Anolis sagrei: one gene and its partners. The protein of the gene in region 1 interacts with the protein of each later gene in a pairwise test. Links are inferred from orthologs where the notes say so. Each region holds a gene or a part of one and is shown in the gene's direction. Other genes may lie near its edges. The genes, in order: FSD2, PPP1R18, SH2D4A and LENG1.

Region 1 (7,004 bases):
CGAACCATCAAGATTACTAAGATCATCTGGAGAGGCCCTGCTCTCGGTCCCACCGGCCTCACAAGTGCGGCTGGTGGGGATGAGGGACAGGGCCTTCTCGGTGGTGGCCCCGCGACTCTGGAACTCTCTCCCTCTGGAGGCCAGAACTGCCCCATCCATCCTAACATTTAGGAAACGGGTGAAGACATGGCTGTGGAGTGAGGCCTTCGATGAATGAGACAACACCAAAGGACCCTGGATGGAAGCTGATGTAGATCCATCTTAATAGGACGACTGACCACTGTAGTTTTATATATAGTGTTTTTAAAGTTGTTTTTGTAATTGTGATATATGATATTTTAATGAGTGTATATGTTTTTTATGGCTGGAAACCGGGCTGAGTCCCTCAATGAGGTTGAGAAGCTCGGTATAGAAAACTGTGAAATAAATAAATAAATAAAAGGCATGAGCAAACTTGGGCCCTCCAGGTGTTTTGGACTCCCACAATTCCTAACAGCCTCGGGCCCCTTCAAGGACTGTGGCTCCTGCAGCAGCTCCAACAGCAAGGACCTATGTCTTCCCTTTTCCTCACTGAACTGAACTCCCCTGTTTCAATGTAACAACCCCTAATAAAGAAGTATCCTTTTTACTCACTTTTCCTCTTCATAGTGATACATCGTGTCCTTTTACTATCTCAAACATTAACAAGCATAAACTAGGCTTGGGTAACAACAGAAAAAATTTGTTTCTAAACTCACTTCGTTTTTAGGGGTCCATCGCGTTTCGTTTTTTTAAAGAATTCCGAAATTTTGCTTTTAAAAATTTCAAAATTTACGAAATTTCGTAAAATTCCGAATCGATTCGTTAATGGTGGACGCGATTGCGCAATACGCTAAAAAAACCCTCCAAATGGGACAGAGGGAACTTCTGAAGCTTCCCTCTCCCTCTGTTGTTGACAGTTGGTGTGATAAAACAAACAACAACTATAAAACTTGCACCAGACATGCGAAAATAATTACGAAATAATTTTGAAATAATTACGAAATAATTACGAAATAAATTGAAAAAATTGTTTCGAATCTAATTTACTCCTCACACTATTCCTGCATGGCTCAATATTGGATCGTAAGCTAATTTAAATACAAATTAATAACAAATTACGAAATTAATGAATGAAACCGCCCAAGCCTAGCATAAAACTTTCCTTTCCTGAGCCGCATATCCCTGCTGACTCGCCTGGGATGCTCTTACAGCGTCCCAGGGAGGCCAAAACTGTGTTCCTCTGAACCGCAGATACGGAAACCCATTGGGCCCCCATATCTGCGGGTCAACGGATCGGCTCTAAACCAGTGCCATCTTTTTGCTAGACTAATTCTAAGACTAACTGCTATCTTACTGATGATCAGTTGAAACATTTACACCTGGCTCCAGCAGACAAGAGTCCTTTGTCCCACCCTTGTCATTCCACAGATATATAAACCCTTTTTCCTAGTTCCAACAGACCTCACTACCTCTGAGGATGCTTGCCATAGATGCAGGTGAAACGTCAGGAGAAAATGCCTTTAGAACATGCCATATAGCCCAAAAAACCCTACAACAACCCACTGCTATCTTACTTTTAGCATAACAGACCTCTGTACCCCAGGAAAACCAATTTTGTCCCAAAAACCTCATGTTGGGTCCAGCTGGCTCCAATCCATGGCTCCACACTGCAACAATGTTCTGCTTCCATTTTATGTGCGTCCAGAAGCCTGTTGACCCCAGGAGAGTCCCTTGAGGTCACCCCTTGGGACCCCCAGATCTCTGGCAGGCCGCTCTGCCCTTCTATGAATTGGATCTGTAATTTTTTCTTCCTTTCCAATGAGTGCATTCCAACCTCTAGTGCTCCCAGGACTGTCACCAATTTCCCATGAACTTTCATAAACTTTTCTCCAACTCCCATGAACTTTCGAAGGACTTTTATGAACTTTTGCCAACTTTCACCAATTTTTGGGAACTTTGAGTACTTTTATCAACTTTTGAGGACTCTTTGGAACTCCCATGAACTCTTTGCCAAACCCCTATGGACTTTTAATAACCTTCTCAAACTTTTATGAATGTTGATGGACTTTGGGGGGGGGGGGGGAAAGACAGCTGACATGATTTGCCCTTAGACCAGTGGTTCTCAACCTGGGGGTCAGGACCCCTGAGGGGGTCACCAGGGGCTGTGAGAGGGGTCACCAAAGACCATCAGGAAACACAGTATTTTATGTTGGTCATGGGGGTTCTGTATAGGAAGTTTGGCCCAATTCGATTGTTGGTGGGATTCAGAATACTCTTTGATTGTAGGTTAATTATTAATCCCAGCAACTACAACTCCCAAATGTCAAGGTCTATTTCCCCCAAAATCCACCAGTGTTCACATTTGGGCATATTGAGTGTTTGTGCCAAGTTTGGTCCAGATCCACCATTGGTCAATGCCCACCAAACCCTTCCAGTGTTTTCTGTTAGTCATGGGAGTTCTGTGTGCCAAGTTTGGTTCAATTCCGTCATTGGTGGAGTTCAGATTGTAGGTGAGCTATAAATCCCACCAACTCCAACTCCCAAGTAACAAAATCAATCAATCCTCCCTCCTCCCAATTCCACCACTATTCTAATTTGGGCATGTTGGATATTTGTGCTAAATTTGATCCAGTGAAAATACATCCTGCTTATCAGATAATTGCAGTACCATTCATAACAGGAGCAAAATTACAGTTATGAAGTAGCAAAATAATGTTATGGTTGGACTGTATTAAGGAGTCGCAGAATTAGGACGGTTGAGAAACACTGCCTTAGACCCTACATGATTTCCCCTTATGAATTCCTTTCATATTCCCCAACCTATTGCTCATTCCTCATGTGTATGTATGTCTATATTTTGAAAAATGTAGGAAAAAGCCACCGTTTTCATGAAACCAGCACCTCATGGCTCCAGGAAGCTTTCCCAATTTCCTGGGCCAGTAAATCCGTAAACAAAGGACTCAACCAAGACTCACTGCATGGACAATAAATAAATGGTTCTTATCAAGCAAAAAGTGAGCGCTAGAAACAACATCATACGAAAGTTGACTGGCACAACCTGGGGATCACAACCAGACACAGTGAAGACATCTGCCCTTGCGCTATGCTACTCTGCTGCTGAGTATGCATGCCCAGTGTGGAACACATCTCACCACACTAAAACAGTGGATGTGGCTCTTAATGAGACATGCTGCATTATCACGGGGTTTCTGCGCCCTACACCACTGGAGAAATTACACTGTCTAGCCGGTATTGCACCAGCCGATAGCGAAAGGACCAAGGCAGAGACATCTCCAGCTCATCCCTTGTTTGGGTATCAGCCAGCACGTCAACGACTTAAATCAAGATATAGTTTTCTTAGATCTACAGAGACACTCGCCGGAGTGGAGTCCACGACATGCGAGTGTGGAGAAGAGCAAACCACTAACCACCTGCTGCAATGCAACCTGAGCCCCGCCACATGCACGATGGAGGACCTTCTTGCGGCAACACCAGAGGCACTCCAAGTGGCCAGATACTGGTCAAAGGACATTTAATCAACTACCAAGTTGGCAAAATCTGTATTTTGGTTTTTTTGTGGTTTTTTTAATCTGTTTGTTTGTTTTGTTCTGTTAGATATGTAATACAATGGTATGGTTGCTGATGACATGATAAATAAAATCAGACGAGACTTCGGAAGGCAAAGAGCCAGGCCATCTGGGATGTTAGGACTTATGGACATTTAAATCACTCAACACAAAGGGTATCTTCCTATCTGTTTATTGGGCTTCAACTCCCATAATTCTTAACAGCCTACTGACTGTTAGTGATTATGGGAGTTGAAGTCACAAACACCTGAAGGGCCGAAGTTTGCCCATGACTGTTTTAACCCCAACTTTTCTCCAGAGTTGTTTGGGTCTGACATTCTCCTCCCTGACACACAAGAAGTCATCTGCTGAAGGACAGCTGGTGCCAGGCTATATTTGTTCTTCTTGCTCATCGCATGCATGCTACGCTTAGGATAAGCAGCCGTCTAGAGTTACAGCAGTGAGGCTTCGGTTTCAGAAGTCGAAAGCTAGCAGGGAATGGCTGCCGAATGAAAAATTCAGGTTTGTTAGGAAAAATAGGAGGTTTTGTTATTGTTGGGATAGAAGTAGAATGATCAATCATTGATACTTAAATAGAAAGTTTTTGAACAGCAATATTATCAGTCTTTTAATTTATTCTAGAATGCAGTATCTCTCCACTACTTTGCATCAATGTTTGGAAAGCTGGGTAAACAAAATTTAATTTCAACTGTTTTTACACATTCTTCCTTAAGGTGTAAATGCCCAGTGATTTCTTTCTCAATGAACTGCAGCTCGAAAGAAGGGAATAAGTAAATATGAAAGCACTTCCTTGCGTAAATGGTCAATAAATAGAATGTGCATGTTCTGAAATGTGGTGTTGTCGCTTTATGTTCACAATGCTATTTAATGGTTCTTTTGAGTTTTTTTTTTTTTAAAAGCTGGTTTAACTGGAAGGCCATCTTGTGGACTTCTAAAATGAAGGTTCCTAGGGCTACAATTTTCAAACCTTGGTCATTGCTTCACGTGTGATTGCAGCTCTATTTCTAGCTCCAAGTTTACCCCTGTCTGCTTGCAGGGGCAGCTCAACCCATTACGCGAAGTAAGCATTTGCAGTATAGTTGATTTTGTCCAGGGGCGCTCTTGAGGTGCTCTTTGGGGAAAATAGACCGTACATATGCGAGTTGTAGTTACTGGGATGTATAGTTCACCTATAATCAAAGAGCATTCTGAACTCCACCAATGATGGAACTGAACCAAATATGGCACACAGAACTCCCACAACGAACAGAATATATATATCAGTGATTAGTTGGGGGGGGGGGGGAATACTGTTTGCTTACCGTTGAAAATTACCTGGAGCCGCCTCTGGCTGCTTGAGGCTCGTCTTTTGCTTTCTTTACTTCTTGCTGAGCAATAAGATCAGCCCAAAATGCAGTGTATTATATTCTCTCCTTTGCAATGGTGAGTTTGGAACAGTAAGTATAATGATAGGCACCTAAAGGAACTCTCCAGAAAGGCCCACTGTTTTATATTCTTTCAATCTGCAACCGTAGGGAGGGTGGGTGGGGGATACTTTTGTACAGTACCATATTCATTGATGGGGATATATCATCATCAGTTTACTAGACACATTTTTTTTGCACAAGTACGACACAAGGGTTTTTTGTTTTGTTTTGTTTTTGTATCAGGAGCAACTTGAGAAACTGCAAGTCACTTCTGGTGTGATAGAATTGGCCATCTACAAGGATGTTGCCCAGGGGACAGCAAGATGTTTGATGTTATTTACCATCTTTGTGGGAGGCTTCTCTCATGTCCCTGCATGAGGAGCTGGAGCTGACAGAGGGAGCCCAACCCGCTCTCCCTGGATTCGAACTGCTGACCTGTCGGTTAGCAGTTCCTGCTGATACAAGGGTTTAACCCATGGCACCACTGGGGGTTCGACACACAAGTTAACATGTTTAAACCCTGGCTTGGGCTGGGAATTGAGAGGGAAGGGTGCTCAGGCTTCAAAACCATCTCACAAACAAACACTGTATGCTGTGAGTTTTCCAGGCTGTATGGCCATGTTCTGGAAGCATTTTCTCCTGACGTTTAGCCCACATATATGGCAAGCATCCTCAGAGGTTGTGAGGTCTGTAGGAAACTAGGCAAGTGGGGTTTCTATATCTATGGAATGTCCAGGATAGGAGAAAGGACTCTTGTCTGTTTGAGGCAAGTGTGAATGTTGCAATTGGCCATCTTGATTAGCATTTAATAGTAGGCATGGGCAATCCATGGTTCTAAATGGTTCTAAAGTACTTACAAAACTCGAGAGCGCTGATGATTTGCTTTTAAAGTGTTTCTAAAGCTGGTGCTGTGCTTCTAAAGTGTTGCTAAAGTTCTAGTGGTGAAAATTTCAGAACTCTAACAAAACTTCCAAAATTTAATTATTATTTCATTATTGGCGATTTTTATGACCGAACCAATTAGGAACTGCCATTTATAACCAAATTTTGAAAGTGTTGTTGGAGTTCTGATATTTTCATCACCAGAACTTTAGCAACACTTTAGAAGCAAAGCACCAGTGCCCCCTAGTTTTGTAAGTACTTTAGGACCATTTGGAACCATGGATTGCCCATGCATATTGAATAACCTTGCAGCTTCAAAGCCTGGCTGGTTGCTGCCTGGGGGAATCTTTTGTTGGGAGGTGTTATCTGGCCCTGATTGTTTCCACTCTGGAATTCTCCTGTTTTCTGAGTGTTGTTCTTTATTCAGCCAGAGAAGTCAGCCATGGCACAGCACCTGATGAACCAGCCTGGACACTGCATATTATTTGAGAACACAGAAATGCTGGACCACTCTCACAACCACTATGTCATACTACACAGAGAAACCATTGAAATCCACAAGTATGTGGACAATTTCAAAAGAAAGGAAGAAACCATGAAAATGAACAAAATCTGGCTACAGGTATTTAAAAATCTATAAAATCAAGATAGTAAAAAAAAAAAGCAAAACTCAGAAAACAAGGGAATTCCAGACAGGAAACAATTAGGGCCAGTTAACACCTCCTAACAAAGGATATCCTCAGGCAGGAAGCAGCCAGGCTTTGAATCTGAGAGGCCATGAAATGCTAATCAAGATGGCCAGTTCCAACATTCACACCTACCTCACACAGACAAGAGTTCTTTCTCCCACCCTGGACATTCCATAGACATATAAACCTCACTTGCTTAGTTTCCAACAGACCTCGCAACCTCTGAGGATGCCTGCCATAGATGTGGATGAAATGTCAGGAGAGAATGCTTCTGGAACATGGCCAGGCAGCCTGGAAAACTCACAGCAACCCAGTGATTCTGGCCATGAAAGCCTTTGACAACAGACACGGTTTGGTCTTTTCTTCCAGTATCGTATGCTGTGATATTGGCTTTCCTATCTGAGATACAGAGAAGCACA
Region 2 (7,955 bases), on another chromosome or scaffold:
TTGTTCTTCATTTTAATTATTGCATTGTTTTAAGTGGTTTTTGCACTACAAATAAGACATGTGCAGTGTGCTTAGGAATTCATTCATGTTTTTTTTCAAATTATAATACGGCCTTCCAACAGTTTGAGGGACTGTGACCTGGCCCTCTGTTTAAAAAGTTTGAGGAACCCCTGAAGTAAACATTATACACTCTCCTTATATATGCACACAGAGGTGGCCCTAGGTAATTTTCAATGGTAAGCAAACAGTATTTTGGCACCCCCCCCCCCCCCCCAATCAATCATTGATATATATTTTCTGTTCGTTGTGGGAGATCTGTGTGCCATATTTAGTTCAATTCCATCATTGGTGGAGTTCAGAATGCTCTTTGTAAGTGAACTATACATCCCAGTAACTACAACTTGCATATGTCAAGGTCTATTTTCCCCCAAGAGCGCCTCAAGAGCGCCCCTGGGCAAAATCAACTATACTGCAAATGCTTACTTTGTGTAATGTGTTGAGCCGCCCATGTATGTACAGTATGACAATATAGGAGCATATTATGTGCCTGTGTATACGTATATATAAATACATGTATAGGAGAGATACGACACATGCAGAGGCGGCCCTAGGTAATTTTCAACGGTAAGCAAACAGTATTTTGGCACACACACCCCCAACCAATCATTGATATATATTTTCTGTTTGTCGCGGGAGTTCTGTGTGCCATATTTGGTTCAATTCCATCATTGGTGGAGTTCAGAATGCTCTTTGATTGTAGGTGAACTATACATCCCAGTAACTACACTTGCTGCACTTGCCCCCTTGCCTGGCCCACTTTGGGTCCGGAGGCGTGCCTGAAGAGCCTGGCATGTGCACCAAAAGTCACCTCTTCTCCTGACTTTCTCCTCAGCCATTGGGACCAAGAGAGAGAGAGAGACAGAGACAGAGGTGGAGATGCCACCTTTCCTGAAGGTAGGCTCAAAAACAAAGGAGGGAGCGGAGGTGGAAGATACCTCCATCCAAAGGAGCTCGAGCTCTCTCTCTCTCTCTCTCTCTCTCTCTCTTAGTCCCAATGGCTGAAGAGAAAGTCAGGAGAAGAGGCGACTTTTGATGCGCACGCTGGGGTCTTCAGACAAGCCTCCGGACCTGAAAAGGCCAGGTGCGGCGGCTCCGCCCCTTGGCCCACCCGCAGATTGGGGAGAGGAGAGGAGGCAGGTGGAGCGCCAGGGGATCGGGAAAGGGAGCCGGTCATGGGGAAGGGATTGAACGCGGAGAACGATTGAGCGCCGGCTCTGCTTGCACACCCGGTGGCCAGGTGGAGCAGGAATGAGAGGGGCAAGGTGAGGCTTAAGGGCCCGGCCCCTTTGGGAAGAGGATTGCCCGGCAGCGAGGCAAGAAAGCCGAGGCTCCCCCTGGACTGCTAGGGCTGTTGTGAGCTGAGGGGGTGCTACTCAAATGGCGGTCGAGGGGCATTTACAGAGACGCCTCTGTGCCCCTGGCAAAAAAAAAGTGTTCTGCGACCGCTTACTTCACGTAATGGACGAGCCGCCCCTGGACACATGCACACATACATCTATGGGTGTGACACGTACTCAAGAGACACACACATACACACACATAGTATATAAATATATGCATAGGAGAGACATATAATTAAATAAACATTATACACTCTCCTCCTATATGTATGGCAATATAGGAGCATATATTATGTGCCTGTGCATGGGTATATATAAATACATGTATAGGAGAGGTATAACACATGCACAGACACATCTATGGGTGTGACAAGTACACAGGAGGAACACACACACATATACACACACAGTATATATGTATCGGAGAGACACACAGGCACAGTAGTGTTGTAATATCAATGGGTGTGACAAGTATAGATGAGGAACTCTCTCTCTCTATATGTATATATATTCACATACATGCACATACACAGAGAGAGGGAGAAACACACACATACATGCACAGTAGTGTTGTGATTTCAATGGGTGTGACAAGTATACATGTGGAACTCTCTCTCTCTCTCTATATATATATATATACACACATACATGCACATACACAGAGAGAGGGAGAAACACACACATACATGCACAGTAGTGTTGTGATTTCAATGGGTGTGACAAGTATACATGAGGAACTCTCTCTTTATATATATATATATATGTACACACATACATGCACATACACAGAGAGAGGGAGAAACACACACATACATGCACAGTAGTGTTGTGATTTCAATGGGTGTGACAAGTATACATGAGGAACTCTCTCTTTATATATATATATGTACACACATACATGCACATACACAGAGAGAGGGAGAAACACACACGTACATGCACAGTAGTGTTGTAATTTCAATGGGTGTGACAAGTATCCATGAGGAACTCTCTCTCTCTCCATATATATACACAGAGAGAGGGAGAAACACACACATACATGCACAGTAGTGTTGTATTTCAATGGGTGTGACAAGTATACACGTGGAACTCTCTCTCTCTCCATATATATACACACATACATGCACATACACAGAGAGAGGGAGAAACACACACATACATGCACAGTAGTGTTGTGATTTCAATGGGTGTGACAAGTATACATGAGGAACTCTCTCTTTATATATATATATGTACACACATACATGCACATACACAGAGAGAGGGAGAAACACACACGTACATGCACAGTAGTGTTGTAATTTCAATGGGTGTGACAAGTATCCATGAGGAACTCTCTCTCTCTCCATATATATACACACATACATGCACATACACAGAGAGAGGGAGAAACACACACATACATGCACAGTAGTGTTGTGATTTCAATGGGTGTGACAAGTATACATGAGGAACTCTCTCTTTATATATATATATGTACACACATACATGCACATACACAGAGAGAGGGAGAAACACACACGTACATGCACAGTAGTGTTGTAATTTCAATGGGTGTGACAAGTATCCATGAGGAACTCTCTCTCTCTCCATATATATACACACATACATGCACATACACAGAGAGAGGGAGAAACACACACATACATGCACAGTAGTGTTGTATTATCAATGGGTGTGACAAGTATACATGAGGAACTCTATATATATTCACATACATGCACATACACAGAGAGAGGGAGAAACACACACATACAGGCACAGTAGTGTTGTGATTTCAAAGGGTGTGACAAGTATACATGTGGAACTCTGTCTCTCTCTCTCTATATATATATACACATACACAGAGAGAGAGAGAGAAATGCACATAGCATGTTCCTCATATACTGCATGAGGCTTGTGTGTGTGTGTGTATCTTTTTGCAGAGCCTGGGGAATGCCAGGAATGCGCCTGTTCCTGGGAGGGATGGACAGGCTCCATTCGGTCCTATGGAAGGCTGTTCCGACGGCAGCCCGCCCTCCCCCCGGAATCTCGGCGGAAGGAACGCGCAGAAATCTCGGCTCCGCGCGCCCTCCCTCCCTCTCTCCCCCTCCCCTCTCCTGCCGATCCGCCCACTCGGCCACCCCCCTCCGCGCCGCTGCCTGCTGCCCGCCAAGCCCCGCCCCCTTTTCATTGTCCTCCCCTCTCCTGTTTATACACAAAGACCCCCGCCTGCCCCGGTCTCCTCCTCCTCCCCCTCCCCTTCCTCCGCTCTTTCTTTCTTTCTCTTCTTTCTCCTTCTTCCCAATCTTTCCTCTCTTCTCTCTCTTCCCCCTTTTTCTCCCTCTCTTTCTTTTGCCTCCCTTTCCTCCCTTTTTCCCCTCCCAGTTTTTCCATCCTGGGTTAAAATAGGATTTGAGCCATGGGGCTGGGAGGTGGAGCTCGGCAGAGGATTTAAAAAAGCGGGTGTGCAAAGGGATTGAGAGAGAGAGAGAGAGAGAATCATTATTTTTCGCCTTCTCTCTCTCTCTATGTTCCTCGTTCTCTCTGAAAGGAGGAGAAAAAACTTCTTGGGAAGCAGCAAAAGGAAGGAGGTGGAGAGAGGAAAGAAAGAGAAGAGAAATCGGAAAGGAGGAGGAGGAGAGGAAGAGGAAGAAAGGAGGAGGAGGAAAGCAAGAGAAGAAGACAGAAAGAGGAGGAAAATAGGAGGAAGGAAGGAAGAGAGGAAGAAGAAAGGGAGGAGGAGAGGAGGAGGAAGGAAGGAGGAGAGGAATAAGGAAGAAAGAGAAGGAGGAGAGCAGAAGAGGAAGACAGAAAGAGGAGGAGAATAAGAGGAAGGAAGGAGGAGAGGAATAAGAAAGAGGAGGAGGAGAATAAGAGAAGGAGAAGAGGAAGACAGAAAGAAGAGGAGAAGAGGAGGGAAGAAAGAGAAGAAAAAGGGGAAAAAGAAGGAGAATAGGAGGGAAGAAGAAGAAGAAAAAGAGGGGGAGGAAGAAAAGAGGAGAATAGGAGGAAGAAAGGAGAAGAATAAGAAAGAGGGAAAGAAAGGAGGAGGAGGGAGGAAGAAGGAGAAGAATAAGAAAGAGGGGAGGTAGAAAGGAGAAGAATAAGAAAGAGGAAGAAAGGAGAAGGAGAATAGGAGGAAGGAAAGAAGAGAAGAATAAGAAAGAGGAGGGAGGGAGGAAGAAGGAGAAGAATAAGAAAGGGGGGGAAAAGGAAGGAGAAGGAGAGTAAGATAAGGAGAAGAGGAAGACAGAAAGAGGAGGAGAAAGGAAGAGGGAGACGAATAAGAAAAAGGAGGAGGAAGAAAGGAAAGGAGGGGAATAAGAGCAGGAGAAGAGGAAGACAGGACGAGGAGAAGAAGAGGAGGGAGGAAGGAAGAGAAGGATAAGAAAGAGGAGGAGGAGGAAAGGAAGAAAAGAGGAAGGAGGAGGGGGCGGAAAGGGACTGACTAACCAAACCCTTCCTCTGGCAAGGCAGCCCTGACTCAGATCCTCCACCCGAATCTCCTCCCTTCTTTCTCTTGCTTTGAGGGACAGAGAGTGGCAGTCAAGAAAAGGAACTTCTCATCCAGCTGGGATCATCTGCACTTCTTCCTCAGAGATGGACCCAGCGGAGGACCCAGCCCACCTTCTGCCCCACATCTCTTGGACCACCTTGGTTTGATAGTGAGTAGGGAATCCTTGTTTTGTTTTGTTTTGTTTTGTTGGCCCCGAGAGATTATATGGGGATTTCCAAGCGGGCTAAGAACCTTAACAAAATCTCCTTCCAAGATCTCCCAAGGGTTCTCATTCTTCGGAGTTGGCCTACTTATGTGTGTGGACAACCCATGCTGATACCGGTTCAGTTCCTCTGATTGTGAGGCGCCAAGACGGAAAGGGATCAGGAGACACAAGGAGGGGAAGAAAGAGCAGGAGAGTCTTGGATAGAGATCCTCTGCCCTCTCTTTCTATGGCTTATCCTTAGTCCTATATTGTTTTCATCCATTGATCAAAGGGATCTTTGATCTTTTATCCCTTCTCAAGATGCTGGGATTCGGTCGTTACTGGAATATATCTTCCTTGTTTTTATTTTTCCCAAAATGAATTAGAAAATCATAGAATCCGAGAGTTGGAAGAGACCTCGTGGGCCAACCAGTCCAACCCCCTGCCAAGAAGCAGGAAAATCGCATTCAAATCGCTCTCATCACCTGAATTCTTGGAATTCTCTGGATATAAGGGGTTCTTGTTGTGTGAAAATCCGCTCATCTGGCTGCTTCCATCCCTCGGATGCCTGGATCCGATCTCTGCTGGGATTTGAGCTGATCTTCCCCGCTGCCTTTGTTTCCTCCTCAGGAATCCTCGCTTTTGACCCAGTTAAGAACTTCAAAAGGCAGCGCTGGGTACCAAAGTCAATTTAGCATCCTCACCTGTCACTGTTGGTTTTTGCAGGCGTTTGAACTCCTGGGATTGCTTGAAATTTGGAAACATCGAGATCCTATTACAGTAGGTTTGTATTTTTTTCTCCCCTTATGTATGTCCTTCTTATGGTTCCCATGCTCTTCCTCCCTCCTTGCAAGATTTGTTTACCTTTTCAGTCTTAAAGTGCAGCAGCCTGACATGATAATGTTATTTCAATGTGTTGTCGAAGGCTTTCAGGGCTGGAATCACTGGGTTGCTGTGAGTTTTCCAGGCTGTATGGCCATGTTCCAGAAGCATTCTCTCCTGACGTTTTGCCCACATCCTCAGAGGATGCCTGCCATAGATGCAGGGGTGGCTCAACCCATTACGCAAAGTAAGCATTTGCAGTATAGTTGATTTTGCCCAGGGGCGCTCTTGAGGCGCTCTTGGGGGAAAATAGACCTTGACATATGCGAGTTGTAGTTACTGGGATGTATAGTTCACCTACAATCAAAGAGCATTCTGAACTCTACCAATGATGGAATTGAACCAAATATGGCACACACAACTCCCATGACGAACAGTAAATATATATCAGTGATTGGTGGGGGCGGAGGGGGCAAAATACTGTTTGCTTACTGTTGAAAATTATCTAGGGCCGCCTTTGCATAGATGTGTATGAAACCTCAGGAGAGAATGCTTCTGGAACATGGCCATACAGCCCAGAAAACTCACAGAAACCCAATGTTATTTAAGGTATTTAATAATACTGGACACTATGTTAAATATCATTTTATTTATTTATTTACTAGCCGCCCTCTGACATGCATTGCTGTGGCCTTGTCTGTGTATATGTGTTTTTGTGTGTATATATTTGTGTACATATGTGTGTGTTTGCGTATATGTATGTGGTTTTGCGCATGCGTTGTAATGTATTTTTTTTATTTTTTGGCTTTTTAAGTCCCTTCCAATATGTTTCCCAGTGTTTTTATGAGTGATGGTCACTCACAGATAGGTGCATTGTGTCCAAATTTGGTGTCAATTCACCCAGTGGTTCTTGAGTTATGTTAATCCCACAAACGAACATTACATTTTTATTTATATAAACTAGCCATGCCCTGCCACGCGTTGCTGTGGCCCAGTCTGTGTATATGTCTTTGTGTGTATGTATGTGCATATATATTTGTGTATATGTGTATATATGTGTTTTTGCACTTGCATTGTAATGTATTTTTTTCTTCTGCTGTGTTTTTCAGGGTTTTTATGAGTGATGTTCACTTGTTGGTCAGATAGGTGCATTGTGTCCAAATTTGGTGTCAGTTCATCAAGTGGATTTTGAGTTATATTAATCCCACAAACAAGCATTACATGTTTATTTATATAGATTATTTATTATTATTTTAAAATAGTAGTGTCATGTTTATATTTTTCATAAATACATATTAATCACCACTACTCAGTGGCTGGGCGCATAAGGTTCTATGTAACCTCTTAAAGCCAAATCCACTTGCCATTCTAAATTCAGATTAAAGGAACTTCTCTTCCCTGGAAGATATAGATATGACATGTATATGGGAAGGATGGAATTAAAGCATTGCCCCCCCCCCCCCCCCCAGGATGCTGCCTTGAAATATTCCTTTTGTCCCCAAATTTATAGTATCGCTAAAACTGGAAATTTCAGGTGAATATTTAGAAATACAATGTAGGCATCCAAAGACAAGGGGCTGGCAAGGTGACCAATGGAATGCAAATTCAAGAGTTCTAGGCATGACAAATTGTCAATACTATGCAATGCAAGAAATTTATTGACAGACAGGAAATATTATGGGAAACATAATTTTAGTGTATTTTTATTTATTTATTTATTTATACACAAATACACACACAACACATATACACAGACTAGGCCACAGCAATGCATGGTAGGGGACGGCTAGTATATAGTAAAACAATCATTAAAAACGTATAAAACCTTGAAACCACTTATTTAAAATCACGCAATCCAATATCATAGTCTGTGGCTGTTCCAATTTGTCATTGCAGTATTCCATAATTTTCTTATTACACTGAATGCCTGGTCTGATATCCATGTCTTTAGCCTTTAGGGAACAATACACTTTAATTCCCCCCCCCTTTTTTTTTTGGTCGTGTTCTGAGTGACTTGAGAAACTGCAAGTCGTTTCTGGTGTGAGAGAAT
Region 3 (6,970 bases), on another chromosome or scaffold:
GTTACAGCCTGTGTTGGATGGGGTTACACTCCCTCTGAAGATGCAGGTTCACAGTCTGGGTGTGATCCTGGATTCATCGCTGAGCCTGGAACCCCAAGTTTTGGCAGTGACCAGGGGAGCATTCGCCCAGCTAAATCTTGTGCACTAGCTGTGCCCATACCTTTGGAAGCCTAACTTGGCTCTGGTTACATCTCGTATAGACTACTGTAATGCACTCTACGTGGGGTTGCCTTTGAAGACTGTCCAGAAGCTTCAAATAGTCCAATGGATGGCAGCCAGAATGCTAACAGGAGCGGCCCTCAGGGAGCATACAACTCCTATGCTGCACCAGCTCCACTGGCTGCCAGTCTGCTACTAGGCACAATTCAAAGTGCTGGCTTTAGTCTATAAAGCCCTAAATGGTTCTGGCCTGACTTACTTGTCTGAATGCATCTCCCCTTATGAACCATCTGGGCCTTAGATTCTAGGACTTTGAGATCGTCTGGGGAGGCCCTGCTCTCAATCCCGGCTTCATCACAAGTATGTTTGGCGGGGACGAGAGACAGGGCCTTCTCTGTGGTGGCCCCTCGGCTATGGAACACCCTCCCTAAGGAGATTAGATTGGCTCCCTCACTCTTAACATTTCGGAGACAAGTTAAGACATGGTTATATGAGCAAGCGTTTACAAATGCAGGGTAACTGATATAGGAAATGGAATCACTTGACAACGGATTTTGGACAACGTTTTTAACTAGGAGACACTAATGATCAAGGGTCTGGAGAACAAGCCCTATGAGGAGCGGCTTAAGGAGCTGGGCATGTTTAGCCTGAAGAAGAGATGGCTGAGAGGAGATATGATAGCCATGTATAAATATGTGAGAAGAAGCCACAGGGACGAGCAAGCTTGTTTTCTGCTTCCCTGGAGACTAGGACGCGAAACAACGGCTTCAAACTACACGAAAGGAGATTCCATCTGAACATGAGGAAGAACTTTCTGACTGTGAGAGCCGTTCAGCAGTGGAACTCTCTGCCCTGGAGTGTGGTGGAGGCTCCTTCTTTGGAAGCTTTTAAACAGAGGATGGATGGCCATCTGTCAGGGATGATTTGAATGCAATATTCCTGCTTCCTGGCAAGGGGTTGGACTGGATGGCCCATGAGATCTCTTCCAACTCTTTGATTCTATGATTCTATGGTGTTGGTTTTATTGTTTTTATTGTGATTTCATATTGTTCAATGCTTAATCGGTATTTTGCTATTATGTGTACTGACTTGTTGTAAACTGCTTTGAGTCGCCGATAGGCTGAGAAAGGCGATATACAAGTATAGTTAGTAAATAAATAAGTAATAAACTTTATTTATACCCCGCCACCATCTCGCCAATGGGGACTCAGAGCCGTTTACATGGGGCCAAGCCCGAATGACAAATTACAGCAAAATAAAACCAAAACATAAACAACAAGCAACATCATCAAAATTGCATTAAAAAAAGATATGAGTACAGTAACAAAATAACATTATAATAAACATAATCGCAGTAACAGTGGGTAGGTCACATGTACAGGATAAAATGTTAAAAAACTCTAATGAGATAAAAATAGGAGCAAGTTATTTGCAGGGAGCTCAAAAAGAAACACAGGGTTGTGAAACTAAACTTCCCATTTGGGGGAGGGGGCATGTACTCTAGTGACAGAAGCATTGAGGGGAGCAATAGGGTCATGTTGCACCTACTCACCAAAGGCGCAGCGGAAGAGCCAGGTTTTAAGGTTCTTTTTAAACGTTTCTAGTGTAGGGGCTTTCCTGATCTCTCCAGGTAATGAGTTCCAGAGTCAGGGGGCCACAGAGGAGAAGGCTCTTTCCCTCACTACGGTGAGGTGGATCAGTAATTGGTTAAATGGACAAACCCAGAAGGTGCTCACCAATGTTTCCTCTTCATCCTGGAAAGAAGTGACGAGTGGAGTGCCGCAGGGTTCCGTCCTGGGCCCGGTCCTGTTCAACATCTTTATTAATGACTTAGATGAAGGGCTAGAAGGCAGGTTCATTAAGTTTGCAGATGACACCAAATTGGGAGGGATTGCCAATACTCCAGAGGACAGGAGCAGGATTCAAAACGATCTTGACAGATTAGAGAGATGGGCCAAAACTAACAAAATGAAGTTCAACAGTGACAAATGCAAGATACTCCATTTTGGCAGGAAAAACGAAATGCAAAGATACAGAATGGGGGACGATGCCTGGCTCGAGAGCAGTACGTGTCAAAAAGATCTTGGAGTCCTTGTGGACAACAAGTTAAACATGAGCCAACAATGTGATGTGGGGGCAAAAAAAGCCAATGGGGTTTTGGCCTGCATCAATAGGAGCATAGTGTCTAGATCAGGGGTCCTCAAACTAAGGCCTGGGGGCCGGATACAGCCCTCCAAGGTCATTTACCCGGCCCTCGCTCAGGGTCAACCTAACTCTGAAACGATTTGAAAGCACACAACAACAACAACAACAACAACAACAATCCTATTTCATCAGCCAAAAGCAGACTCACACTTCCCACTGAAATACTATTAAGTTTACATTTGTTAAAATTGTTATTCATTTTAATTATTGTATTGTCTTGTTAAGGGTTTTTTTGCAATACATATAAGATATGTGTAGTGTGCATAGGAATTAATTCATGTTTTTTTTTTTCAAATTATAATCCGGCCCTCCAACAGTTTGAGGGCCCATGACCTGGCCCTCTGTTTAAAAAGTTTGAGGACCCCTGGTCTAGATCTAGGGAAGTAATGCTACCCCTCTATTCCGCTTTGGTTAGACCACACCTGGAATATTGTGTCCAATTCTGGGCACCACAATTCAAGAGAGATATTGACAAGCTGGAATGTGTCCAGAGGAGGGCGACTAAAATGATCAAGGGTCTGGAGAATAAGCCCTATGAAGAGCGGCTTAAGGAGCTGGGCATGTTTAGCCTGAAGAAGAGAAGGCTGAGAGGAGATATGATAGCCATGTATAAATATGTGAGAGTAAGCCACAGGGAGGAGGGAGCAAGCTTGTTTTCTGCTGCCCTGGAGACTAGGACGCGAAACAATGGCTTCAAACTACAAGAGAGGAGATTCCATCTGAACATGAGGAAGAACTTCCTGACTGACAGCCGTTCAGCAGTGGAACTCTCTGTCACGAAGTGTGGTGGAGGCTCCTTCTTTGGAAGCTTTTAAACAGAGGCTGGATGGCCATCTGTCAGGGGTGATTTGAATGCAACATTCCTGCTTCTTGGCAGGGGGTTGGACTGGATAGCCCATGAGGTCTCTTCCAACTCTTTGATTTTATGATTCTATGAAACTAAACTTCCCATGAGGCAGTGACAGAAGTGTTGAGGGGAGCAATAGTGTCATGTTGTCCACCTACTCGCCAAAGGCGCAGCGGAAGAGCCAGGTTTTAAGGTTCTTTTTAAACGTTTCTAGTGTAGGGGCTTTCCTGATCTCTCCAGGTAATGACTTCCCGAGTCGGGGGGCCACAGAGGAGAAGGCTCTTTTCCTTGTGCCCACAAGACGGGCTTGTGAAATTGGCAGGGGCGAAAGGAGGGCCTCCCCGAAGATCGAAATAAATAAACATCAATGCAATGAACCTGTCCGTTTAAAAATGTAAATAGCAGTTGTGTGTGTGCAGAGGGGGAAGCATCAAAGCAGCCTTTACACCACACTATTGATCCGATCAGAACCTCATTCCCACCCAGTTCTGCTATTTTCACCCTTATTCATGCTGGGAACTCTGGTGTGTATTTCCGTTCACGCAGAAGATAAATTATATCTCACTCCTTGACACTGGTGTTTACTGACATTGGCCCTATCACTTTTTCTGTGGGCGTTTGGCACCGGCCAGAACTTTACTTTCTTAAGATTTGTGAGACAGGAAAGGGTTAGGGTTCACCTCTTTACAAGCCATCCCTTCACTTCCTGGTCTCATAACAGAACGGCTTGCTGAGTCAGAGAGGTAAGCCACACCTGTGACTTTAGCAGCCAGTGCTTAAAAGCAGAGGGGACTTCCACGAGGCATCAGATCTGAACACTCCTCTCTGGTCCTCGTTGCGGCTGCTTTATATTCATTACCTTGAACAAACGCCCTGCTTATTCCAGGACACAAGGGCTCGGTTTTGGTGTAAGTGTTGCCAAGTCTTCCTTTTCTTTGTGTTCTTTGAGCTCTTTGTTTACTTTGTCAGTCCTTGCAGGAAATCCAAGAGCTAAAAGTAGGTTGCAGTCGCCGTGAGAGTAATTGCGATGTGGAGAGCCTGCATTCCTGCTGTATCTTAAGGGTGGGGAGAGATTTTTGTCTCCCCTTTGGCCACTGATGTGTTTCTGCTGGAAAGGCGGCAGAGAAAGTGACTTCTTCCTTCTCTTCTCTCCTCAGATCAGCCTTCTCTTCTTCTTGCTCCTACTCCTTCCTCTCTGTGAGAAGCTTCTTCTACAACCATGCTGAAGCAAATCCTGGCCGACATGTATGTGGACCCAGAGCTGCTGGCAGAGCTCAGTGAAGAGCAAAAGCAGATCTTGTTCTTCAAGATGAGGCAGGAGCAGATCCGAAAGTGGAAGGAAAGAGAAGATGTGGCCACTGTGCCGAAACCAGTGCGGAAGGCAGGTCAGTGTGTGAGCCCAGGAGGAAAATGGGATTATCTAGCCTGGCTTCAGAAGGAGTAAAGAAGGCTGAGAGGGGACATGATAGCCGTGTTTTAATATCTGGAAGGATGTCACATTGAGGAAGTTGCATACTCGTTTTCTTTTGTTTTGGGGATTAGGATGCGGATCAACGGATTCAAATTCAAATTGCAGGGGAAAAGATCATAATAATAATCTCTCCGTTCTTGTGGGTTTTTTCGGGCTATATGGCCATGTTCTAGAGCAGTGGTTCTTAACCTTCCTAATGCCGCGACCCCTTAGTACAGGTTCCCACGTTGTGGTGACCCCCAACCATAATGTCATTTTCATTGCTACTTCTTTAATTTTGCTACTGTTGTGAATCGTAATATAAATATCTGATATGCAGGATATATTTTCATTCACTGGACCAAATTTGGCACAAATACCCGAAACGCCCCAATTTGAATACTGGTGGGGTTGGAGGGGATTGATTTTGTCATTTGGGAATGTTGGAATTGCTGGGATTTATAGTTCACCTAAAATCAAAGAGCCTTCTCAACTCCATCAATGATGGAATTGAATCAAATTTGGCACACAGAATTCCCATGGCCAAGAGAAATACTGGGAGAGTCTGGTGGACACTGACCTTGAGTTTTTGGAGTTGTAGTTCACCTATATCCATATCACACTGTGGACTCAAACAGTGATGGATCTGGATCAAACTTGGCACAATATACCCAAATGTGAACACTGGTAGAGTTTGGATAAAATAGACCTTGCCATTTGGGAGTTGTAGCTGCTGGGATTCATAGTTCACCCACAATGAAATAGCATTCTGAACCCCACCAATGATAGAATTGGACCAAACTTCCCATGCAGAACACCCATGACAAAGAGAAAATGTTTCCTGATGGTCTTTGGTGACCCCTCTGACACCCCCTCGCGACCCCCACAGGGGTCCCGACCCCCAGGTTGAGAACCACTGTTTTAGAGGCATTTCTCCTGACGTTTCGCCTGCATCTATGGCAAGCATCCTCAGATAATATAATAATAATAATAATAATAATAATAATAATAATAATAATAAACTATTTAAAAACAGCAATATCAGAGATCAAAAGCCCGTCGAAACAGATATGTCTTCCATGCCCTGCGGAAAGTTGATGTCCCGCAAGGCTCGGACTTCAGGTGGCAGAGTATTCCAGAGTGATGGTGCCACTGCTGTAAAGGCTCTGCGTCTGGTTGCTGTTAGACGCAAGGTCTTGACACGGAATTTCCAATAAATCTTGGTCCTCAGAACGGAGGGATCTCTGGGGTTGGTAGGGGGTGAGGCGGTCCCTCAGGTACATCGGCCCTAGATGTAGGGCCTTAAAGGTGAGTACCATCACTTTGAAAATATAATTCATACACACAGAGATATAGTATTATAATAATAATAATAATAATAATAATAATAATAATAATAACAACAACAACAACAACACTTTATTTGTACCCTGCTACCATCTCCCCAATGGACTCGGTGCGGCTTACATGAGGCCGAGCCCAAACACAACAATACAAGCAATAATAACAACAATACAAGCAATTAAAAAAACATAGACAATAAAATACACAACATTATCAATAAAACAACACATAATTAAAAACAGTGGGAAGGCCAAATGTAGAGTTAAAATTGGAAATAATGCTGGGACATGAACGAAAGGTGATACTGGTGTTTGTGGAAGGGCATACGAGCAGACTTAAAGATATGTAAAGTGCTATGGGATCATTATTCCGGGAAGGCACACTGGAACAGCCACATCTTCAAGCTCCTCCTGAAGACTGCCAGAGTTGGAGCCTGTCTGATGTCTTTAGGGAGTGAGTTGCAGAGTCGAGGGGCCACCACCGAAAAGGCCCTCTCTCTCCTCCTCACCAATCGCGCCTGCGATGCTGGTGGGATCGAGAGCAGGGCCTCTCCGGATGATCAAAGGGATCGTGTGGGTTCGTATACAGAGATGCGGTCACGCAGGTAGGCGGGTCCTAAACCGTTCAGGGCTTTGTAGGTAAGAACCTGCACCTTGAATTGGGTCCAGTAGATGAATGGCAGCCAGTGGAGCTCCTTGATTCCATCTACACTTTAGGAAGAACTTCCTGCCAGTAGTGGAATATACAATAATAATAATAATAATAATAATAATAATAAAACTTTATTTATATACCGCTTCATCTCCTTGAGGGGACTCAGAGTGGTTCCCAGGTAACATCACAAAACATACAAAGTAAAAACAACATAACCATAAGTGGGTTGTTGTAGGTTTTTTCGGGCTATATGGCCATGGTCTAGAGGCATTCTCTCCTGATGTTTCGCCTGCATCTATGGCAAGCATCCT
Region 4 (7,125 bases), on another chromosome or scaffold:
CCAGACGTTTCTCTGATCCCCAAATTAGGATGGCACTTTATTAGGGCAGCACCCTAATTTAGAGAACAAAGTTTGGAAAAGTTACTGTTTTGGACTACAGTAGCCATGGTTAAGCTGCAGAAGGGTTGTGGTGGAAGGTGTGGTCATTTTCCAAGGACGATAGATGGCTTTGAGCCTTGCAACTGATGAAACAAAGGGCCCTGATCTTACATTTGTCTCCTCTCTTTTGCATCCTTTCCTCCAAGTGTCCTCATGTTCTACCTCAAGGCACTGGCTGACTCCTACAGCTCTTTGGTTAAAGGCCTTAAGGGACAACTCCGTCTGGTAAGTACTCAAAAAGAACATTTTCATAGAGTTAGCATGGGATTGCAATGCCAGGATCAACAGATGCCTTACAAATAATGCAGATGTGCCACACGAAAATTCCCACTATCCCAGACTATTTGCCCAAAGCTGTAATGCAGCACATCTTGAGATGCTAGACTGGGAAAGGACCAAGAGGACGCTGTCATGAATAAGGATACTTTCACATTTCTCTCCTTCTCTTTCATCTAGGAGGGCCAAGACAAACTCTTCCTGGTGAAACAGATCTCTGAGATGAGCCACTGAAGCAGAAGATGATAGAACAACATGCACTTATTTCTTCTGGTAGATGGGTGTTTAATTGTACAGTTCATTTCCTCAATACTCAAAGAGTGTTTTAATATTGGTAGCCAGATTTTGTTGATTTTCATGATTTCCTCCTTTCTGTTGAAATTGTCCACATGCTTGTGGATTTCAATGGCTTCTCTGTGCAGTCCGACATGCTGGTTGTACTCTAAAATCAGGACAGTAAATAATGAACAACACTAAGAAAACAGGGGAATTCCAGACAGGAAACAATCAGGGCTGGCTAACACCTCCCAACAAAGGATTCCCCCCAACATGAAGCAGCCAGTCTTTAAAGCTGCAAGGCCATTCGATGTTAATCAAGGTGGCCAATTGCAACATTCACACTTGCCTCAAGCTGACAAGAGTTCTTTCTTCCACCCTGGACATTCCACAGATATATAAACCCCACTTGCCTTGCTTCCAACAAACCTCACAACTTCTGAGGATGCCTGCCATAGCTGTGGATGAAACGTCAGGAGAGAATGCTTCTGAAACATGGCCATAAAGCCCAGAAAACTCACAGCAACCCAGTATTGGAAGAGACCATATGGGCCATCTTGTCCAACACCCAGCCATGCAGGAAAAGCACAATCAAAGTAACCCTGACAGATTTGCACTACCATATAGTACTGTTTGAAACTGTATTATATAGGTCAGTGTCGACTTATATAATGCAAATCAAACTTCATTATATGAGTCTACACTGACCATATAATGCTGTTCAAACTGCATTCAGTGGTCAGTATAAAAGGGGTCTTGTCTCTTATGCAGGTCTACCAAAACAGATTTCTGGCTGCATTTCTACCACCATAATTGATTTTAAAATGATATTGTTGAAGGCTTTCACGGCTGGAATTACTGGGTTGCTGTGAGTTTTCAGAGCTGTATGGCCATGTTCCAGAAGCATTCTCTCCTGATGTTTTGCCCACATCTATGGCAGGCGTCCTCAGGGGTTATGAGGTCTGTTGGAAACTAGGCAAGTGGAGTTTACCTATCTGTGGAAGGTCCAGGGTGGGAGAAAGTACTCTTGTCTGCTTATTTTGTATACAGAAGGCAATTACAACATTAGGGGTTGCTGTAAGTTTTCTGGGCTGCATTCTCTCTTGATGTTTCACTCACATCTATGGCAGGCATCCTCAGAGATTGTGAGGCAAACTTGGCCCCTCCAGGGGTTTTGGACCACAAACCTCACAACCTCTGAGGATGCCCATCATAGATGTGGGCAAAATGTCAGGAGAGAATGCTTTTGGAACATGGCCACACAGCCCGGAAAACTCACAGCTACCCAACTTTTAATTTTTTTGATGGACAGAGTACAGGCAGTCCCCAAGTTACTAACATCTGACTCATAGTTAAGAATGGGGGTGAAACAACAGGAAGGGGGAATAATCTACCCCATAAAAGGAAAGTTTATTCCTGAAAGAGTGATCACGGGGAAAAGAGGACTCCAATGAAGTTTTATCACCAATCCTTGTTTCCATAAAAAGCCAATTTTTTCAAAATCCAATTACTACCGTGACAGAAAGTGAGGTGAAATATTCTGAACAGGGGCACAGACAACAAAACAAACCCCACAAGGGCGTCAACTCTTCTCTATGCTATCCAAGGCTGGAGTTAAATTTTAAAAATGTATCTCTTCCAACTTACAACTAAATTCAACTTAAGCACAAACTTACAGGGTTTATCTTGTTTGTAACTTTGATTAATTGTATAGCCCATATACCAAAATAGGACAAATCTGGATACACTTCCCATACAAGAATTTAAACTATAATATTCCACTTTGTACATTGCTCTTCCAAATCTTGGCCCTAAATGTATGATGCATTATTAGAATGAATAAATAAATAAACAGAAAATGAAGCATTCATGTTCTAAATCACAATGCAGAATTTGAACACTGAGATATAAGATGTGAAAATTTCAAATTTTTAAGGTAATTATGGCTCCTTCCACACAGTTGTATAAAACCCACATTGAACTGGATTATCTTACAGTGTGGACTCAGATATTCCATTCAATGCAGATATTGTGGAATTTTTTTGGGGGGTGTCAGGAGCGACTTGAGAAACTGCAAGTCGCTTTTGGTGTGAGCTAATTGGCCTTCTACAAAGACGTTGCCCAGGGGAAGAAACTGAAATCGCGGTTTTGGGACCAGGCTTTTGGACAGCAGACTTAATTAGCACTTTGGTTGGAAATTGACTGGAATGGCATGACAGCTGATGATACTGTTTATTGTTTTAATCAATGCTTTATGTACTGTTTTAATTAATGCTTTATATATATTTAATGGTTGTATTATTGTAATTGTTTGTTTGTAGTGGCATCAAATCGCTGCCAAATTTAAGCCATGCTGAGTCCCCCTTCAGGGATAGAGAATCATAGAATCATAGAATCAAAGAATTGGAAGAGACCTCCTGGGCCATCCAGTCCAACCCCATTCTGCCAAGAAGCAGGAATATTGCATTCAAATAACCCCTGACAGATGGCCATCCAGCCTCTGTTTAAAAGCTTCCAAAGAAGGAGCCTCCACCACACTCTGGGGCAGAGAGTTCCACTGCTGAACAGCTCTCACAGTCAGGAAGTTCTTCCTCATGTTCAGATGGAATCTCTTCTCTTGTAGTTTGAAGCCATTGTTCCGCGTCCTAGTCTCCAGGGAAGCAGAAAACAAGCTTGCTCCCTCCTCCCTGTGGCTTCTTCTCACATATTTATACATGGCTATCATATCCCCTCTCAGCCTTCTCTTCTTCAGGCTAAACATGCCCAGCTCCTTAAACCGCTCCTCATAGGGCTTGTTCTCCAGACCTTTTATCATTTTAGTCGCTCTCCTCTGGACACATTCAAGCTTGTCAATATCTCTCTTGAATTGTGGTGCCCAGAGTTGGACACAATATTCCAGGTGTGGTCTAACCAAAGCAGAATAGAGGGGTAGCATTACTTCCCTAGATCTAGACACTATGCTCCTATTGATGCAGGCCAAGAGACGGGGTAGAAATATCGGAAGCAAAATAATAAATAAATAAATAAATAATGTCCCTGCATTGGAAGCTGGAGCTGACAGACAGGAGCTCACCACACTCCCCGGATTTGAATGGTCGACCTTTTGGTCAGCAGTCCTGCCGGCAAAAGGGTTTAACCCATTGTGTCACTGGGGGCTCCTCATATTGTGGATTATCTGCCTTGATATTCTGGGTTATATAGCTGTGTGAAAGAGACATACATTGTGAGATCTGGGGCCCTTCCACACAGCCCTATATCCCAGAATATCAAAGCAGAAAATCCCACAATATCTGCTTTGAACTGGGTTATCTAAATCCACACTCAATGTGGGATTGATATTCTGGGATATAGGGCTGTGTGGAAAGTTCCCTGGAAAAAAATTAAAAAAAAGAAATTTGGAAAACAATACTCAGGCCGTCCAGAAGGGGCGCCAGAGATACACACAAAGTAGGCCACGCCCCTGAGAAGGATCCCACCAATCAGAAAAGAGATACAGATCCCGGAAGTGTGAGGCAGCAGCGAGAGGGAGCCTCAGCGTTCCGAAGGACGGCGTAGGGAAAACAGCGAGGATGAATATCCTCCCGAAAAAGTCATGGCACGTACGGAACAAGGACAACGTGGCCCGCGTGAGGCGGGACGAAGCGGAGGCCGAGGAGCAGCGGAGGAAGAAAGAGGCCCGAGTCCTGCTCGCGGAACAGGAGGTAAGTTGCTTCTACGGCGCATGCGCAAAAGGGACAACGGTTGTGCTCGGGGCAGCGCCGCGCATGCGCTGTTTTCCTATAACTCATGACATTAAAAAATAGCATTTTATTGCGCATGCGTCCCCGAGCTAGTTCGAATGGGCGGGGTTTGGAAGAGAATGAATGAAGGGAGAGGCATGAGCAAAGTTGGGCCTTCCTCCAGGTGTTTTGGACTCCAACTCCCGCTATTCCTAACAGCCTCAGGCCCCTTCCTTTTCCCCCTCAGCTGAGGGGGAAAAGGAAAGGGCCTGAGGCTGTTAGGAATGTGATGCTTTGCACACAATCAAAGCATCTCCAACAGATGGCCATCCAGTCTCTGCTTAAAAACCTCCACAGAGAAGGAGACTCCCATTTCAGTCTGTGGGACATTTCGATGGAGGTTTTACCATCTAATATACTACAGTAGAGTCTCACTTATCCAACATTAATGGGCTGGTATAATGTTGGATAAGGAGAGATTAAGGAAAAGCCTGCTAAACATCAAAAAAACCAAGATTATGGCAACAAGAATGGTTGACAACTGGAAAATAGAGGGAGAAAATGTGGAGGCCGTGACAGACTTTGTATTTCTAGGTGCAAAGATGACTGCAGATGCAAACTGTGGCCAGGAAATCAGAAGACGCTTACTTCTTGGGAGGAGAGCAATGACCAATCTCGATAAAATAGTGAAGAGTAGAGACATCACACTGGCAACAAAGATCGGCCTAGTCAAAGCCATGGTATTCCCTGTAGTAACCTATGGATGTGAGAGCTGGACCTTAGGGAAGGCTGAGCGAAGGAAGATAGATGCTTTTGAGCTGTGGTGTTGGAGGAAAGTGCTGAGAGTGCCTTGGACTGCGAGAAGATCCAACCAGTCCATCCTCCAGGAAATAAAGCCCAACTGCTCATTGGAGGGAAGGATACTAGAGACGAAGTTGAAGTACTTTGGCCACATCATGAGGAGACAGCAAAGCCTAGAGAAGACAATTATGCTGGGGAAAGTGGAAGGTAAAAGGAAGAGGGGCCGACCAAGGGCAAGATGGATGGATGGCATCCTTGAAGTGACTGGACTGACCTTGAAGGAGCTGGGGGTGGTGACGGCCGACAGGCAGCTCTGGCGTGGGCTGGTCCATGAGGTCACGAAGAGTCGGAGACGACTGAACGAATCAACAACAACAAGGAAAAGCCTATTAGGATTTTACAAATTAAGCACCAAAACATGATGTTTTACAACAAATGGACAGAAATAGCTGTTCAAAACACAGCAACGTTATGTAATAATTACTGTATTTATGAATTTAGCACCAAAACAGACAAGGGCGCTTTCTTTCTCCCACCCTGGACATTACTGTCCGAACATATCTCCTGGTACAAACCATCACGAACCTTAAGATCATCTGGAGAGGCCCTGCTCTCGACCCTACCGACACTGCAAACGCGATCGGTGGGAACAAGGGACAGGACCTTCTCATCAGTGCCCCCCCCCCCCCCCCCGTCTATGGAACGCTCTCCCCAGTAACATCATAGAATCATAGAGTTGGAAGAGGTCTCATGGGCCATCCAGTCCAACCCCCTGCCAAGAAGCAGGAATATTGCATTCAAAGCACCCCTGACAGATGGCCATCCAGCCTCTGTTTAAAAGCTTCCAAAGAAGGAGCCTCCACCACACTCTGGGGTAGAGAATTCCACAGCTGAATAATAATAATAATAATAATAATGATAATAATAATAATAATAATAATAATAATAAAATGAACCTTTATTTATACCCCACTAACATCTCCCGAAGGAGTCGGTGCGGCTTATAGGAGGCCGAGGCCCAACACATCAATAAAACAACAGCATAACAAATACAACAATAAATAAACTCATAAAGCAAGCAGTAAACATTAAAACAATAGCAATAAATATTAGACAATAACACCATGACACATTTAAAACTAAGGCCAGGCCAAATGTAATGATTAAAATTTTAAACAGATCTCACAGTCAGGAAGTTCTTCCTAATGTTCAGATGGAATCTCCTTTCTTGTAGTTTGAAGCCATTGTTCTGCGTCCTAGTCTCCAAGGAAGCAGAGAACAAGTTTGCTCCCTCCTCCCTGTGACTTCCTCTCACATATTTATACATGGCTATCATATCTCCTCTCAGCCTTCTCTTCTTCAGGCTAAACATGCCCAGCTCTTTAAACCGCTCCTCATAGGGCTCATCATAGGACATCAGAATGGCCACCTCCCTCCTGTCTTTTAGAAGAAAAATCAAGACCTGACTTTGGGACCAAGCATTCAATTAGAGAGCAAAAAGTAAAAGAAGATTTTAACACCCAGACTGGATTTTAGACTCTGATTTTAATAGGTGTGTGTTAATCAATTGTTTTAATTATTGTTTTAATATTTTAATGTGTTGTTGTTTTATTATGATGACACCGTATGGTGTTTGTGAGGTTGCCCTGAGTCCCCCCCTCAGGGGTTAGAAGGGCCGGGTATAAATATAGGAAATAAATAAATATTGCACAGGTAAATATACACTCCACTTCCCTCACCTGTGGATCCGAGCAGGAGGCAGACAGCGTTGGATAATACAGAATGTTGGATAAGCGAAGGTTGGATAAGCGAGATTCTACTGTATTTGAAGGACAACTGACCATGGCTGGCAGAAAAATAACAAGTTTGTCCCAGACTTCTGTGTCAGAAACAAGCCTGTGATGCTGGAAGCGAGCCTAGGGAGACCACCTAGCATTTCATCAGGGACTGCCCT

What was found.
Region 2: the proteins of FSD2 (region 1) and PPP1R18 interact in binary tests that used the Homo sapiens proteins (3 or more experiments, as listed by UniProt). The two-hybrid records come from large-scale screens. The link is inferred for Anolis sagrei from reciprocal best matches to the Homo sapiens genes FSD2 and PPP1R18.
Region 3: the proteins of FSD2 (region 1) and SH2D4A interact in binary tests that used the Homo sapiens proteins (3 or more experiments, as listed by UniProt). The two-hybrid records come from large-scale screens. The link is inferred for Anolis sagrei from reciprocal best matches to the Homo sapiens genes FSD2 and SH2D4A.
Region 4: the proteins of FSD2 (region 1) and LENG1 interact in binary tests that used the Homo sapiens proteins (3 or more experiments, as listed by UniProt). The two-hybrid records come from large-scale screens. The link is inferred for Anolis sagrei from reciprocal best matches to the Homo sapiens genes FSD2 and LENG1.

Annotation. Positions count from the first base shown.
Region 1 is NC_090029.1:32,404,458-32,411,461, reverse strand, and holds the start of FSD2 (fibronectin type III and SPRY domain-containing protein 2), read left to right. Parts: upstream 1-3,993; 5' UTR 3,994-4,109; intron 4,110-7,004.
Region 2 is NC_090022.1:23,666,509-23,674,463, forward strand, and holds the start of PPP1R18 (phostensin), read left to right. Parts: upstream 1-4,935; 5' UTR 4,936-5,047; intron 5,048-5,809; 5' UTR 5,810-5,863; exon of another isoform or gene 5,864-5,867; intron 5,868-7,955.
Region 3 is NC_090026.1:55,294,689-55,301,658, forward strand, and holds the start of SH2D4A (SH2 domain-containing protein 4A), read left to right. Parts: upstream 1-3,951; 5' UTR 3,952-4,119; intron 4,120-4,200; exon of another isoform or gene 4,201-4,273; intron 4,274-4,368; 5' UTR 4,369-4,430; coding exon 4,431-4,596; intron 4,597-6,970. UniProt on the Homo sapiens protein: Inhibits estrogen-induced cell proliferation by competing with PLCG for binding to ESR1, blocking the effect of estrogen on PLCG and repressing estrogen-induced proliferation. May play a role in T-cell development and function.
Region 4 is NC_090026.1:19,022,569-19,029,693, reverse strand, and holds the start of LENG1 (leukocyte receptor cluster member 1), read left to right. Parts: upstream 1-4,119; 5' UTR 4,120-4,220; coding exon 4,221-4,352; intron 4,353-7,125. Other genes in the region: voltage-gated chloride channel TMC4, read left to right, coding at 246-324, 556-609.